2 linked regions of the Drosophila melanogaster genome follow. The protein of the gene in region 1 interacts with the protein of each later gene in a pairwise test. Each region holds a gene or a part of one and is shown in the gene's direction. Other genes may lie near its edges.

Evidence for each region. The genes of interacting proteins can lie anywhere in the genome.
Region 2: the proteins of Sox15 (region 1) and gus interact in a two-hybrid assay, tested with the Drosophila melanogaster proteins (one large-scale study listed by BioGRID).

What each region holds. Positions count from the first base shown.
Region 1 is NT_033778.4:14,206,338-14,214,437, reverse strand, and holds the start of Sox15 (Sox box protein 15), read left to right. Parts: upstream 1-2,024; 5' UTR 2,025-3,097; coding exon 3,098-3,150; intron 3,151-8,100.
Region 2 is NT_033778.4:5,125,322-5,131,623, reverse strand, and holds the start of gus (gustavus), read left to right. Parts: upstream 1-3,302; 5' UTR 3,303-3,398; intron 3,399-4,100; exon of another isoform or gene 4,101-4,221; intron 4,222-4,281; exon of another isoform or gene 4,282-4,375; intron 4,376-6,302. UniProt on the Drosophila melanogaster protein: Involved in the localization of vas to the posterior pole of the oocyte. Required maternally in the germ line for efficient primordial germ cell formation.

The sequences.
Region 1 (8,100 bases):
TCGCTGGCGATAGCCGCTCAAGTGTCACACGCCCACATTTTTGGAGCAGTCGATGTCGATGGAGCGGCTATTTGCACATACGCCACGCCAATAAACTTGTACCCACCACCGAGGCACGCTTTGATCCGATCCTCATTCGCAATCTTTACCCCGCTTCCCATTCCTGTTCTCTCGGCCTTTAGTCTTTGGTCTTTGGGGTTTCAGACTTCAGTGCTCGGTCGCCAGTCTTCAGTCTCCAGTCTCCAGCCTTCTCGATCGGCACACGCTTGCGCTGCAGTTGCTCCCCCCCTTTTGGGATTTTCTTTCTTTTGGTCTGACCGATGCTCCGATGGTCGGAGGAACCTTTTGGCCGCTGCCCGATCCCCCGCCCCGCACCTGTGCACATGCATAAATCGACGAATCCACGACCACGAATCCGCGAAGACTTGGGCCTCGCATCGCCGGCGGCAATTATCGCGATGTGATAAACAAATATTTTGCATCTATGGCAAGAGGAAGCGAAGGCTTTCCCGGCATTCTGGCGCTTAATTATGAACTCCGGCTGGGCTTGGGGATGGAGGTAGCCCCATCCGAGTACGAGTTTATTATTATTAAATGCCCTGCGCGTGGCCGCATGCACTTTTACCTGCCAACGTACTTGACTCGTCTTCTGGGAGGTTCGTCGCTTTTCTACCTCCTCATCTTCATCTCGATTTTTTTGTGCCTTTGATTTTTTTTATTTTTTGGGCTTGGCTGTGCGGTTCGCTGGCAGCAGTTGTTGCAATATGCAATTTGGCTGCTTATCTCCAGTTGGATACCAATCAGCTTGGCCCCAAAAACTTTGGTGGGTGGAGAGTGAAATAAAAATTAAATATGGCTCTATTTGAATATTACAGCCGCTTTCAAGGCATTGGGCTCACTGGGCGGATACTTAATGGACAGTAAGATGGTATTAAGATAAGCATTTTCAACTGTGATCTATTCCATGATATATATTTTATTAAATATATAAGAACTTTGTTTTAATGTTAAGAGAGTTGGTATAGTTACTATTGAGTTGCTGATCAGAGAATGTATTAGTTTTTGTGTAGATTTATGAATATTGTATCTATGAGCTACTTTTTGATTTACATTCTGTTAAAATCTATTTGATAGTGAACAAGATAGTATGACTTACTACTAACAAATTGTTTTGTAAGTTTAAACTCTTTACAAACTGCCTGAAAATCCCTTTCATTCCCATTTAGTCACCTTTTGATTAATGACTTTCGTTGCTTTCCATTTGCTTAGAGATTGCCAATTTAAACATTTGCGAATCTTTCGCAAAATCTCTCTCTTTCTGAAAGACGGTGCCCCATTTGATCCAAATAACACCCTTTTCCCAGAGGTTCCGAACATTACGATATTTGCATACGCTGGCTTCCGTGTATGGGTGCTATCCCCCCATCCGCTAGTATATGCATGTGCACATACAGACGTACGGTTGTGTATATATGGACCCCAACGACATTGGGGGCCTCCACCAATTGAAACAAACCAAATGCAAAGTTGTCTCTCCCACAACAAACGGATCTCGGGGAACAGGTTTTACATTTCTGAAAGTGAGACCGAGAGATCGCGAGAGTCCGAAACAAAACGAAACGAACCGAACGAACGAACGAATGAATATTAAACAAGCTCTGTGTTTCATTAGATTCAAAAGAACTCGCCGCTGCTCTCGGTTCGGAGGCTATGGGTAAAGTATACTTGTCTATGGTACGGCATAGTCTGGGAGACAGGGCCAAGTCACCTGGGCTCGGACCAGAGCCACTTGCTCGTTCCGCATCGATGAACAGCTGCTGCTGCTGCCGCTGCCGCCACTCTCTGGCTGTTTCGATTCAAGACTGCGCGAAAGGTTCAGCTTATGGCTTTTCGCTTTTTGGCCTTATGCACGGGCTCTGAAGGCAGAGACACCTCAGTTCGGTTCACAATCTCCCAGCTCCCCAGCTGCCAGCCGCCAGCTCACAGTTCCCCCAGTTCGCGAGAGCGTCGATCGGTCGTCGAGTTCAGTTGGCCTGCGGTTCGTCATCAGCGTGGTTCATGCGGCTCCGACTTTCAGTTCGCCTTTAACTCTGACTCAAGCCCTGGCATCGGCGGAACTCGGTAGTGACTCTGGTGGCTCTCCATTGACATCGCCATCTGCGTCCCCGGGCTGTAATCATAAATATATATATATCTACATACAAACTGGCCCGCTGTACATAGGCCCAGTTAGTTAGTTTGTTAGTTAGTTAGTTAGTTACTTGCTTAGTAGTTGCTGTTGTGCCGTGAATTTTCATTTTCCCAAGAGCGCTATCCGCTGTTTGTATCTTGTGAAATGTCGAAGCCCTTGATTTTAGGCTACGGATACGTTCGTTAGTCAACCTTTAAACAGCTCGCTTTAGGGCCAAAAACTAATGAACAAGTGATTTTAAAGAACGTAGATCAATACCGGTAAAACTATGTAAAAAGTGACACAATCTGTTTAATAAAAAGTTTACATCGTTCCGGTGTTGAAAAGTATCTTTTCAACACCAAGTGCCAATCGAAAATCCAAATTTGAAGTGTGTATTTTTCAATATCTTCAAAATAATCACCAGTGAATAGTGAGATTCAAAAATATATTTACATCACTCGGTGATTGCGAAATTGTGGCCAAAATGTGGGTTAGGCTCTGAGCCACAAACAAAACAAAATCTGACAACAAATGGACGCAAATTCACACATGCCGTGGCACATAAATTTATGGTTGGAACTGTAACTGGGCAAAAATGCTCGGCCCGGCAGACATCAGTAGCAGTAGTAGTGGCACCACCATCACCACCAGCGAACCACCAACCGCCACCACCCACCAATCCACCCGAACCGCCGACAAAGGGAAAAACTAACGGAATAATGCAACATTAAGCAAAATGCTGCTGGCCCTGCTAAAGCAAAGCCAACAACAACAACAACAACACCAATTTCAACCTGCCACCACCGACGTCAGCAACAGCAAAAACAACAGCAACAACTACAACAACAGAAGCAACAACTGCAACTGCAACAACATCAACGTCACCGTCACCGTTACCACGAACATCGCCGTTGCCGTATAAAAATGGAACCCTCATATGATCACGAACATCCACATCATCTGCTAACAAATTACAAGTAATATTTACATTTTTCCCATGCTAAAATTTTTTTCTCGCTGTTTAATTATATCCAACCGAAGCGAAGATACATATCTTCAAGATAATAACCATAATGAAAAATGGAAAAGGCGCTCGTGTAGTGGTGAAGAAATTCTCTAGATCGTACATATATATATATATACAATAAATATGTATATACTTATATATATGGGGGCCCATGACTGCGACTTTTCAAGACTTAGTCACAATCACAGATACTAAGATACTAAGATACAAAGATACTAGCGGCGGGCACGACAGCGAGAAACACCGTCGGGGATGTCGAATGCACACTGTGGCAGTAAGCTACAACTATAAAGCACGGTTATATATGTATAAATATATATATATGGGGGTTATACAGTATATAGTATCTGGGAATTTGCTTAGATTTTCCTTGGTGTGGCCCCAGTTTTCAGACCCCGCAGCACTTGCACTTGTATTCGTATCCGCTTCTCGATTCTCTCCGTTTCCCTCGGCAAACGTAAACGTAAACGTAAATATGTAAATGGTCGACTGCGAATAACTTAAGAACCGTCTTCGGACGCGACTCGAAATTGGTCAAGTGGAAAGTAAACCAAGACGCCGGAGAAGTCGGCGGGGGTGGAGACCCTGGGAAAAAGCAGAGGCCAAGAACGCACAGGCGACGCACCGAGAAGAAGTCTTAACATTTGGTATATTTCGGCCAGAGGTCAGGCCATTATAAAGATTTGTATCCGATCTACACAGCTTGATAGATACGCATGAGGTTTTAATATCCATATATAAGTATATGACTGTATATAAGTATTTCCCCTTTATACGTATTAGCTAGCCATTTCAGCTGACTGACTTTCGTAGTTTCCGACGGGAAATTCCCGTCTACAAATTGGCTGGAATTATGAATGGAAATGAAGCCATGAAATTAAATTAAGTACAGATGAAAAGCTCTGATAAGTCCGCACACACTTTTCGTAAGAAATTCGAAACCGAAAATCACAATTAAGAATGTCTCATGGGCGAAAGCCTGTCGCATTTTTCGTCACATTTTCCAAATCTTCCTGCTTGGGATTGGCTCATCACGGGACGGGGCATTTCATTTCATTCAGTTTGATCTTTTATGGCTGCCCCATAAATCAAGTCAAGGCTGCGATCTACCTAAAGTTTGCTAACTTCGTTTTCAATCTAAATAGTTTTCAATATCAAATAAAATTCTATGGCCAATAAACAACCATCTGTATATGTGGATTTCCAATCAATGTTTGAAAATTAATTAAGGCTTTACCGTGACTAAGCTGGATTGGAAATGCATATATCCAATTGAAATTTACTTATTTCCTTTAGAACTTGTTTTTGATTGTCCGCCTTTTACACATTTCCCGGATACTAAAAGTGAATAGTATTTAAGAATTAATGTTTGCTTGATCATTTCTGGACTTTCCCTACTGCAACCAGGAACTTAAGTTTTCATTGACGTAAAAGGAGATTCCAATGGTTGTAACTTCTTGGAAGAGAGAGATAAATCTTTCGAAATGTTTATAAATCGTGTTTGGACAGCTTAATCGCCTAATTGTATTGATGAATCTGAAGAGTACACTCCTATTTTAAAATGAAATCCTATTTTAACTTGATATAACAGAATTTAATGTATTACAACTACATGCCATTCACGGCAATCAAACTATTATATTATGTGAGCAAAAATCCCTTTCCATTCAACAAAAAATCATATAAGAATTTCTTTAGGAATTTAAATATTCAATATCATCAAAAACAATACTGAATACTTTGTCAGATTTCTAGTGAAACCTTAGATGCGTGCTTAGTAACTGTAATATTGAAGTGGAAAAATAAAAACATTTACCATTAAACAGGATAATAGAGGAGATCGCCAAAGTGGTTAGACATATCCGATTCGACGTAACATCAATGATATGTCATGATTGGCATTAAACTTGGCAGATTACCAAGGAAATTAAATTATTGCTCATTCAACATTTCCCGAATGGCAGAAAAGTGATTTTCGGTACTTTCACTGTAGATTTAAAAACCTGATAAATACTTTTGGTCGATTTAAAAATACATGAGAAAAAATCCAAATCTAACTTGCCGTTTTAAACGCTTATAATTTGTTAACAAAATATTTATATAAAACGTTTTGCAATTATACTAAACTGACCTAAAGTTGGACTTCGCATTTTTAAAATTTCTTTAAAATTGTTTTATGGTTGTAGGATAATTTAAAAAAATGTAAAAGAATACAAATTTATTCACTAACATATACATAACAGAAGATCACAAAAAGCTTAATACACGGGAATACACCCGAAACTAAAACTAAAACTGATTTTAAAAGATATTCCTGCCCGCAAAATCGAACTTACTTCACATGAGCCACATAAATGTTTTCTGAGTAATTAATTTTAATAGCACTAATTAGTGGTCTAATAACATTTAAGGCAGTCAACACCCTGTAAAACGTCAACCCTAAAAAAAAATATAAGGGTTGGAACCTTTGAAAACACCCTGATTTAAGTCCGGTTAGTTGTTTTCGAATCCAGCCAACTAGCTAAGTACGGATCCTCCACATGCAATTACTCTACTTAGTGGTACGAGCATGCAGCACTGCCTCCATTTCCATGCAATCCATATAATTTAGTACCCCTCCACCTGCGAGGGTGTATACGTATAAGTATCTGTATGTGTATCTGTATCTGAGCACGTACATGTATCTGTTGGCTGCGTGTGCTGGTGTGCGTGCTAAAATCCATTAAATTTTTGTATCTTTTTTATGCTCCTAAAATCGCTTGTGTGAGAACTGGGTCTTCGTTGTTTCTTCGGCATGGCATGGGGGTGGGTGGTGCCTCAAGAAGTGGGGCTGGGGGGATCCACAGCGACGACAGCCGCAATAAACCTCATTAGCCGAACGAAAGCAGCAGCTTCGGCAACGTTCGGCCCTCGAAGATGGATGGTGATGATGATGATGACGCTACTCTCTTCGCTTGCTTCATTAGTTTAATTAGGTATGCCCAGGCCAGGTCACACATACATACACACATATATCGCCTCTATATAGAAGGCACAGGTATGGAGGTACCTATACCTTATAGCCCAATCCATTGTGCGTACCGATCTCATTCCCATTCGCAGCGAGGCAGGTAGCTCACCTTCATGTTCATGTTCATTAAAGCTAAGATGGCGGCTCTTTAGGCCCGGATGCTGGGATGTTTATGCTTATTGGTCAACAGCATCTACATGCGGCCATACAGATATATGCATATACGTACGATTATATAGGCGGCCATGCATATGTATGCGTAAATGGCCGATCCGATCGACCGACCGACCGACCGACAACTCATCGCGGCCCGCTGAAAGACCGGGCCTGCGTCGTTAAGTTATTCAAGTACATCACACCTGGGCCGCAGCTCCAGCTCCACAAGTTTATCCATGCTGGCATACACCAGCGCCCCTACCTATGCCCCAACCTCCAACTGGAACTGGGCCCAAGTCGTGCCAAGTCGTTTGGGCCAAACTCGTTTTCTTGGCCTGCGCTGAGCTCCACTGTGCACTGTGCTGTGCTGGGCCTCTGGAAATCTGTTTTGTATGCGGGGCGCCTGCAGCCGCAGCAGGCAGCCAATAGACTGCAAATGGAGCAAATGGAGAGCCACGGCAGATGCCTCTTCGCCAGGCGCTGTGGCCACACCCACCTCCAGGTCCCACCAGCCACCTCCTACTCCGCCACTTTATCCAGATTCAGCCTCGCCAGTCGAGCCGAGCCGGCTTTGACTGTGGCCGAAAACCAAAATGGCTTTTATTACCTTGCCGCACCGCTTGCATTTCTCCACAGGCTGCCAGGCTGCAAAACTGGCCCAATACGAGATCGCAGTTGAGGCGCCAAATGATTTGCCATTCTAGGCATGCATCTCTTTGGTGGGCAAATCTCGGATGCCTAACTATGCAATCGAGCATTAGATTGGATTCTAAGCGGAGCTCGCAATCAGATCTACATAAATTATATATCAAGGTTGTTCATTACCATTTTGCTGGGCAGAAGCTTTCTAAAATGTATATGAAGCTAATCGGATTACCAATGGGATTTATCTCAATTGGAACGCTGGCACTAGAGCCTAATCATGCATAATTGAAATTGGTATATAATTAAATTTAATAGGAAAATAACCATTTCCAACATGTTAATCTTATGGATAACTAGATCAGATTAGAAAGCGCAGTAATTAGAACTCACTATTATAATTCCATAATTTTCAGATAAGCCAGTTACACGATAATTTCGAAATATGCACTGATTTCCATATCAGTGTCTAAATCGTTCTATGACATACCCAGCAACAAAATCTCCCGAATAATAGAATGCCATTGTTCTTCACTCTGTTTTGTTCTGAATCCGAGACAAATCTGCCCAATTGTTGTCACATACCTGTCCGCAACTCAGAGTATCCCCAACTGGTCCCAACACGGCGAATAGACGACCAGTGGCTAGACAAAAGGTATTGACAGCTCACCGAAGCGGTGGATCTGTCTTAATTACTGTCCCATTTGCTGGAATGTCAGTTTGTCAACCGAATGTTGCAAGATGCAGCGAAACGCTTTCTAAAATTAGCCAGAAATATGGGATGACAATGTTTAGATTAAGAGGAAGCCGCAAGTTTAACTTTTTTATTGCCAACTCCTGTGACAATTGTCCCCCAAATGTACATACATATATACATATACATATACATATATATGTATGTATATTTATATATGTGGGGATGTCGGGTTGGGGGTATCCAACTTAAAAGGCTGTCTTGAGCAGCGCGGCAGAGCGTCACATGAATCACAATATGCTAAAGCGCCTGACACTCTCCAGATCAATGCGGCTTCTTCGGTTGGGAGTTGGTTGGCTGGCGGCTCCTGAATGAAGCCAGGGGCTTGTTAAAAGGGA
Region 2 (6,302 bases), 9.1 Mb from region 1:
CTCTAGAAGAATTGCAGTGCTTTGTGAGTAAACTAAAACCAAAGAAAGCCCAGGGTAATCACCTGATTGATAACAAAAAAATAGAGAATTCTATAGACAAGATCACCAACTATCAGATACCCGTTACTCAGCTAGTGTGAATGCGAACGTGAAATTTCATAATTTTTCTGGAAGATCGATAGATATTGGGAATAAAATGAGAAAAAACTTAAATATAGTTCCAAAGAGTGGGCGTGACCAGTTCGCTGGCTTTAGGGCGTTGGAGTGGCAAATCGATAGAAATTTACAAGGCTAATAAAATTTTGAAAAAATATCGAAACGTTTATCAAAAATGTGGGCGTGGCAGTTTTGGGCGTTTTAGGGCGTTAGAGTGGTCGAGGCAAATATTTTTTTTTACAAATCGATAAAAATTCACATAGATAATAAAATTATAAAAAAATATGGAAACGTTTTTTAAAAATGTGGGCGTGGCAGTTTTAGGCGATTTTAGGGCGTTAGAGTGGCCGAGGCAAAAGTTTTTTTGCAATTCGATAAAAATTCACATAGATAATAAAATTATGAAAAAATATGGAAACGTTTTTCAAAAATGTGGGCGTGGCAGTTTTGGGCGATTTTAGGGCGTTAGGGTGGCCGAGGCAAATATTTTTTTTGCAAATCGATAAAAATTCACAAAAATAATAGAATTATGAACAAATGTGGAAACGTTTTTCAAAATTGTGGGCGTGGCAGTTTTGGGAGATTTTAGGGCGATAGAGTGGACGTGGCAAAACATTTTTTGAAAGTCGACAGAAATGTACAAGACAAATAAAAATGTGATAAAAAATATCGACACGTTTTTCAAAAGTGTGGGCGTGGCAGTTTTGTGCGGTTTGTGGGAGTGACAACATGGGTCAACAAACTTGCGCTGCGTCTTTGTCTCTATTCTTTGTCTTCTATTCTGAATGCTGAATCTCAACCTTCTAGCTATTATAGTTGTTGATACGTTAATACGGACATGGCTAGAACGACTCGGCTATTTATCCTGATCAATAATATATTTACTTTATGTGATCGGAAACGCTTCCTTCTGCCTGTTATATATCCTAGTATGCCCTTTAATTCTACGAGTAACCAGAATAAAAAGCGAAGGTAATTTTTTTGCCCAACGGTACAGCGCTGTGCAATAATAAACTGTTTAAAAATGTCCATATGAACATCAAGATCGCAGCTAGAATGTTGAGATTCAGCGTAAAGATTCTAGAGACAAAACTACCGTACCGGTCACGCCTACACTTTGGAACTATTTTTACTCTTATCTCTTGTTATTTATATATTTTATATTAAATTCATTGGATTGAAATTTGAACACTATGTCATATAGCAGTAAAAGTATGTTATTAAAGAAGATTATTATTTTATTAATGGAAAAGATATCCTAGAAAAAAGCATTGTACCCGTATTTAATTAAATAGAATTTTGAGATAAAAAAGAAAACAAAACATTTTTCTTAAACTTTTTATCGGAGTTGCCTACCTCATTTTATTTCCGGTCCTAAAGCAATTTATTAAAATGCGAAGATTTTCGCTTCTATGAATCTATTAGCGGTGGTCAGGTTTTTCAAGCTCTACATTAATGAATTTAGTGACCAGAAACATTGCAGAACTCACAGGTCGCAGGGCTGAGGCTTGAGGCAAGAAGGACAGACCTACACAAATCAGATGTTCTGCTACTTTGCACCTGGTTGACTGACGCATAGCTTGTTACGGCTGCGTCCTGCAACACTGCTCCAGAAACGATGCCATGTTGGAATTGAATTCTTTAAGACTGGTTCTCCAAATGCTGCTCCCATTTCGCCAGACTTTCCGGATCCAGCTTTTGGATAAGTACTTGGGCGATAATTCATCCAACGATTTGTGTCGTTGAGCCCATTCCATTTAGCGCGCGAATATGAGCGTTGAATTTATCACACAGTTTACAAAGCATTGAAACGGAACCATTCTGAACTGCCCTTGCCCTAGAATCTCAGTAATGTGTGCCTGGAATATTAAACAAACAGACAAATTCAATGCTATAGCATAGTTGCCATCCGATATTTCAAGTGCAGTGTCCCTCAGACATGTTCTTAGATGCTGCAACTTTTCTATGTTTGTTAGTTCAGGATGGCTATCTATTATCGTAGTAAACATAGAATAGAAGTCCAGCCAGATAGCTCGCCCAAGAGGGGGCAGCGACGTCCTATGCCGGAGTGCTACTTAATTGAAGTGTTAAAGCTTTAAACAGCTTTGCGAGCTTGTTGCAAATTATTGTTTATTAGCTGTTTTTGAGCAATGAAAAGACGAGTTTTGTGTAGCGATTTTGAACGATATGTTTAATAATAGCCGACATGTAAAAAAGATTTTGTCAAAACTTATACATGAGAAATGTTGTGTAAATTTTTGAGAAATTAATTGAAAAATGGTAACATTAAGGACAGTTGTTGAAATTAGGTACAATATTACCATTTGTAAGCGTATGTAAAACGAGCGGTAGAATAACAGTATATTATCGTATCATACGTTGAACGAACTGAGAGGCAGTTCAGTCGCGTAAAGTCAAAGCCAAGAATGTAGAAGGAAGCACATTGCCGCGCGGAGTCGCAATAAACAATCGGATGTCATCAAAAAAAGTGCAACCTGCAAAAACAATATATGGCAGTTAAGCATCTAATTATTCTTTATTATTCTTTGAACGAGCCGTATTCGGTAAGGAGAACCCGGTTTTCAATTAATAACGCCGAGTAAAATAAACTGTTTTAGTTATTTTATATTTATATTTTTTTATTTACCCGTTATTCAGCTAATGCCAGCTTTTGGCATAAATATTAATAAAATGAAAAATTGTTTGGCAGTTTAGGCGTAATGCGACAGTAGGTAAAATGTGCCTGTCATACCGTAAAAACAAGCGAGACAGATAATTGTTTTTATGAATTATTACAGTTTTTTGGTTTGGGTAAACCAAAAATTTGCAATTGTAAACTTATCAAGTTACTTTTACGCATGGGGTCAATCAGATACCTTTAATTTAAAAAATTGTAATATGGTGATAAAATGAATAACTTCATTTAAAAAGATTTTAAAATTTGTTTAATTTACATTATGTTGTGCTAAATCTTGAAACGGCTTGACTTAGAAAGTCTTTACCAAACTTCGGTCTTTGAAGTTAAATTAAATTATATAATTTCGAAGAAATTATTAGTCTTTTCCAAAATCCCACTCATTCCGCACATGACAAAAATCGTTACATGTCACAACACTGTTGATGTACGGTATAAGTGGATATACAAACAAATGAATGTTTTGTGCATCAAAGGTTCCTGAGTGATATTTTGCTTTATGTGTTGTTTTATTTTAATCATAGCAAATCGACAAGATAAAAGTAATGTAAGTTTCACAGGAACTGATAAATGAAATTCACACATATCTAACGTGGGAATTGATCAATTAATTATAAATATGGAATGTAAGAACATATGTATGTTCATATTTATAAACGTTAATCAGATAAAAATTTGAGATATGTGATAAAAATAATTATATGTGAAAACTTATCTGTACATATTGAACTTCATGTATTCAATCTCCTTGGATTGAATTTGTATGAGCGTACAAAAACACTATAAGAATATTAATTAGGAGTGAATCTGATATCACCAAAAATACATACATACGTAATTGCATACAATCTTAAAGATTTGTTGGAGAATATATTATAGGGAAGGAAGCGTTTCCCTAATGCATAAAGTATTTAAGCATATGTATATAAATAACTATATTATTGATCAGGATTACTAGACAAGTCGATCTGGCCATGGGCTTGCTTCAGTTATATGATTTTCGAATTTTTTTTTTATGAATAGTTCGTCGGTGCTGTAGCAACTTTTCATTTATTTTCTATTAACTTTAACAGTAAAGTTGAATCAATACGAAATTTTGGTTAGTATAAAAATTACATTTAAACCAAGACTGCATCACTACTTTTCTTTTAAAAGGTAATATGCAGGCTTAACTCAATGAAGGCGGCGCAAGCCGCTTTTACACTAGCATATTGTTAATTCACACAATGTAAAGTTTACTTTAACTTACTTCACTACATCCTTTAGTCATTCAGACTATACGCTATTTGTTATACTCGTTATACCCGTAGAGTAACAGGGTTCCTAGATCCGTTGAAAACTATGTAGCAGGAGGAAGGAAGCGTTTCCGACTATATAAAGTATATACAAACATATGTAAATACATATATTCTTGATCGAGACAATCTGACCATGTCCGTCTGTCCATATCAGCATCAAGATCAGCCAAAATGTTGAGATTCAGCATACAGATTCTAAAAACATAGACGCAGCGCAAGTTTGTGACCCATGTTGCCACGCAAACTCTAACGCCCACACACCACACAAAACTGTCAAGCCCACACTTTTAAAAAATGTGTTGATATTTTTTCACATTTTTTTTAGTCTTGTAAATTTCTATCGATTTACAAAAAAAAAATTTCTAACGCCCTTAAACCGCCAAAAACTGCCACGCCCACATTTTTGAACAAATTTCTGGATATTTTTCAATAATTTAATTAGTCTTGTAAATTTGTATCGATATGCCAAAAAACTTTTTGCCACGCCTAATCTAACGCCCTAAAACTTCCCCAAACTGTCACGCCCACACTTTAAAAAAATGTTTAGATTTTTTTTCATTTTTGTTTGTCTTGCCAATTTTTTATCGGTATACCAAAAACACCGTAACCACGCCTCCCCTTTTACCAACAAAACGGTCACGCCCACACTTTTAAACCATTTTTAAATCCTTTTTATTTTATCTTTATCTATCGATATCCCAAAAAATGTATGCAATTTTACGTTCGACTACAGCATTCTGTTTTGTTTTTCTCTCGATTTTTTGGTGCTGGCTCTAGAGATGGCTCCAGGCTCTCTCGAATGTTTGTTTAAGAGCCAGAGTGCGGAAAGATATACAGCCAGCTGCCCTCTTCGGCTGTCACTGTATGCGTAAGAATAAAGGAGACAATGATTGTTGGGTGCTTATGTTCGCACTTCGTGTCTCAAGAAATCATTTTTGCAATAAACAGTCAACGTATTTTTATATATTGTATATACAGTTTGTCAAGAAACTGTTTACACACTGTGAAATAAGTTGAATTTTTGACCTTAAAGGTAAAAATGTTCAAACGCTATTTTTTTATGAAATATATTTTTGTTTTACTTATAAATCAAAAAACAAATTATAAATATTAAATATAAAGAAAAGAATTTTGAGACTGTCAAGAAACTCTACGTTTTCTTTATGTGTTTAATGTATGTATGTATGTTTTTATTATTATTTAGAAATTTATTTTTTGAAATGTAATTTTTTTTTTAAATATTTCACATTGCAACTTTAAAAATTGATGTCGCAAAAGATGTCGTCAGTCCCGTTTTACATATTATTAATTATAAACACAAATTAAGATATGAAACATTTATATGAAACACTTTAAAAATCTAATAGTCAAGGCATACATGTTTAAATATTATTTGAGTAGATCATTTTGCAACGAAATTGCCCGAAACTCTAAATATGTTATATCGGATCTTAGATCAAAATTGATTTCTGCCCGAAAATCGTCTTCTAGCACAAGTACGCACACATACAAACATTCTCCAAAGACGCTAGTTATTCTAGTGTCTTTGCTTTCTCGTTTATTCTTTTAGCACACACAAGCAAGTGTATTATTTTTTTCGATTTTATACCGCTCTCAATTTTACTCAAGCGGAGAGAGAGCAATTTTGACCGTCAACAAAAAAGTGGCTGCATAGTGCAAAACCAATGAATGGCCGTTACGCATCTTGTAATTCTATTGTCTTTGCTTTAACTCGGTCTGTGAAATCAAAACAATAAGGAATTCAATAAGACAACTAGCTGTACAAGCTTTAGGAATGATACGAATAAAAGTGGTTGGCACGCTTTAAATAGCTTTTATGTCGAAATTTTTTTTTTTCGATTTTCCTTTTACTTGAAATCGATCGATACGCTAACTAAGTTTTGAAATATCTTCTTGCCTCGCATCTAAATATCGGATTCCTGGTTGTCTTGATAATCTGTGATTGTTCTGATTATTATATGATTAATATAATACTATATATATATATATATATATATATATACAGTATTGCTAGTATGTTTTCACATTAGTAAAAAAATATATCTTCATAATGTACTACCATAAGTAATAAATATTCAAATTTGCTTATATTCGATTCTTAAGTTTGAAAGCATTGGAAAAACAGTTTATAT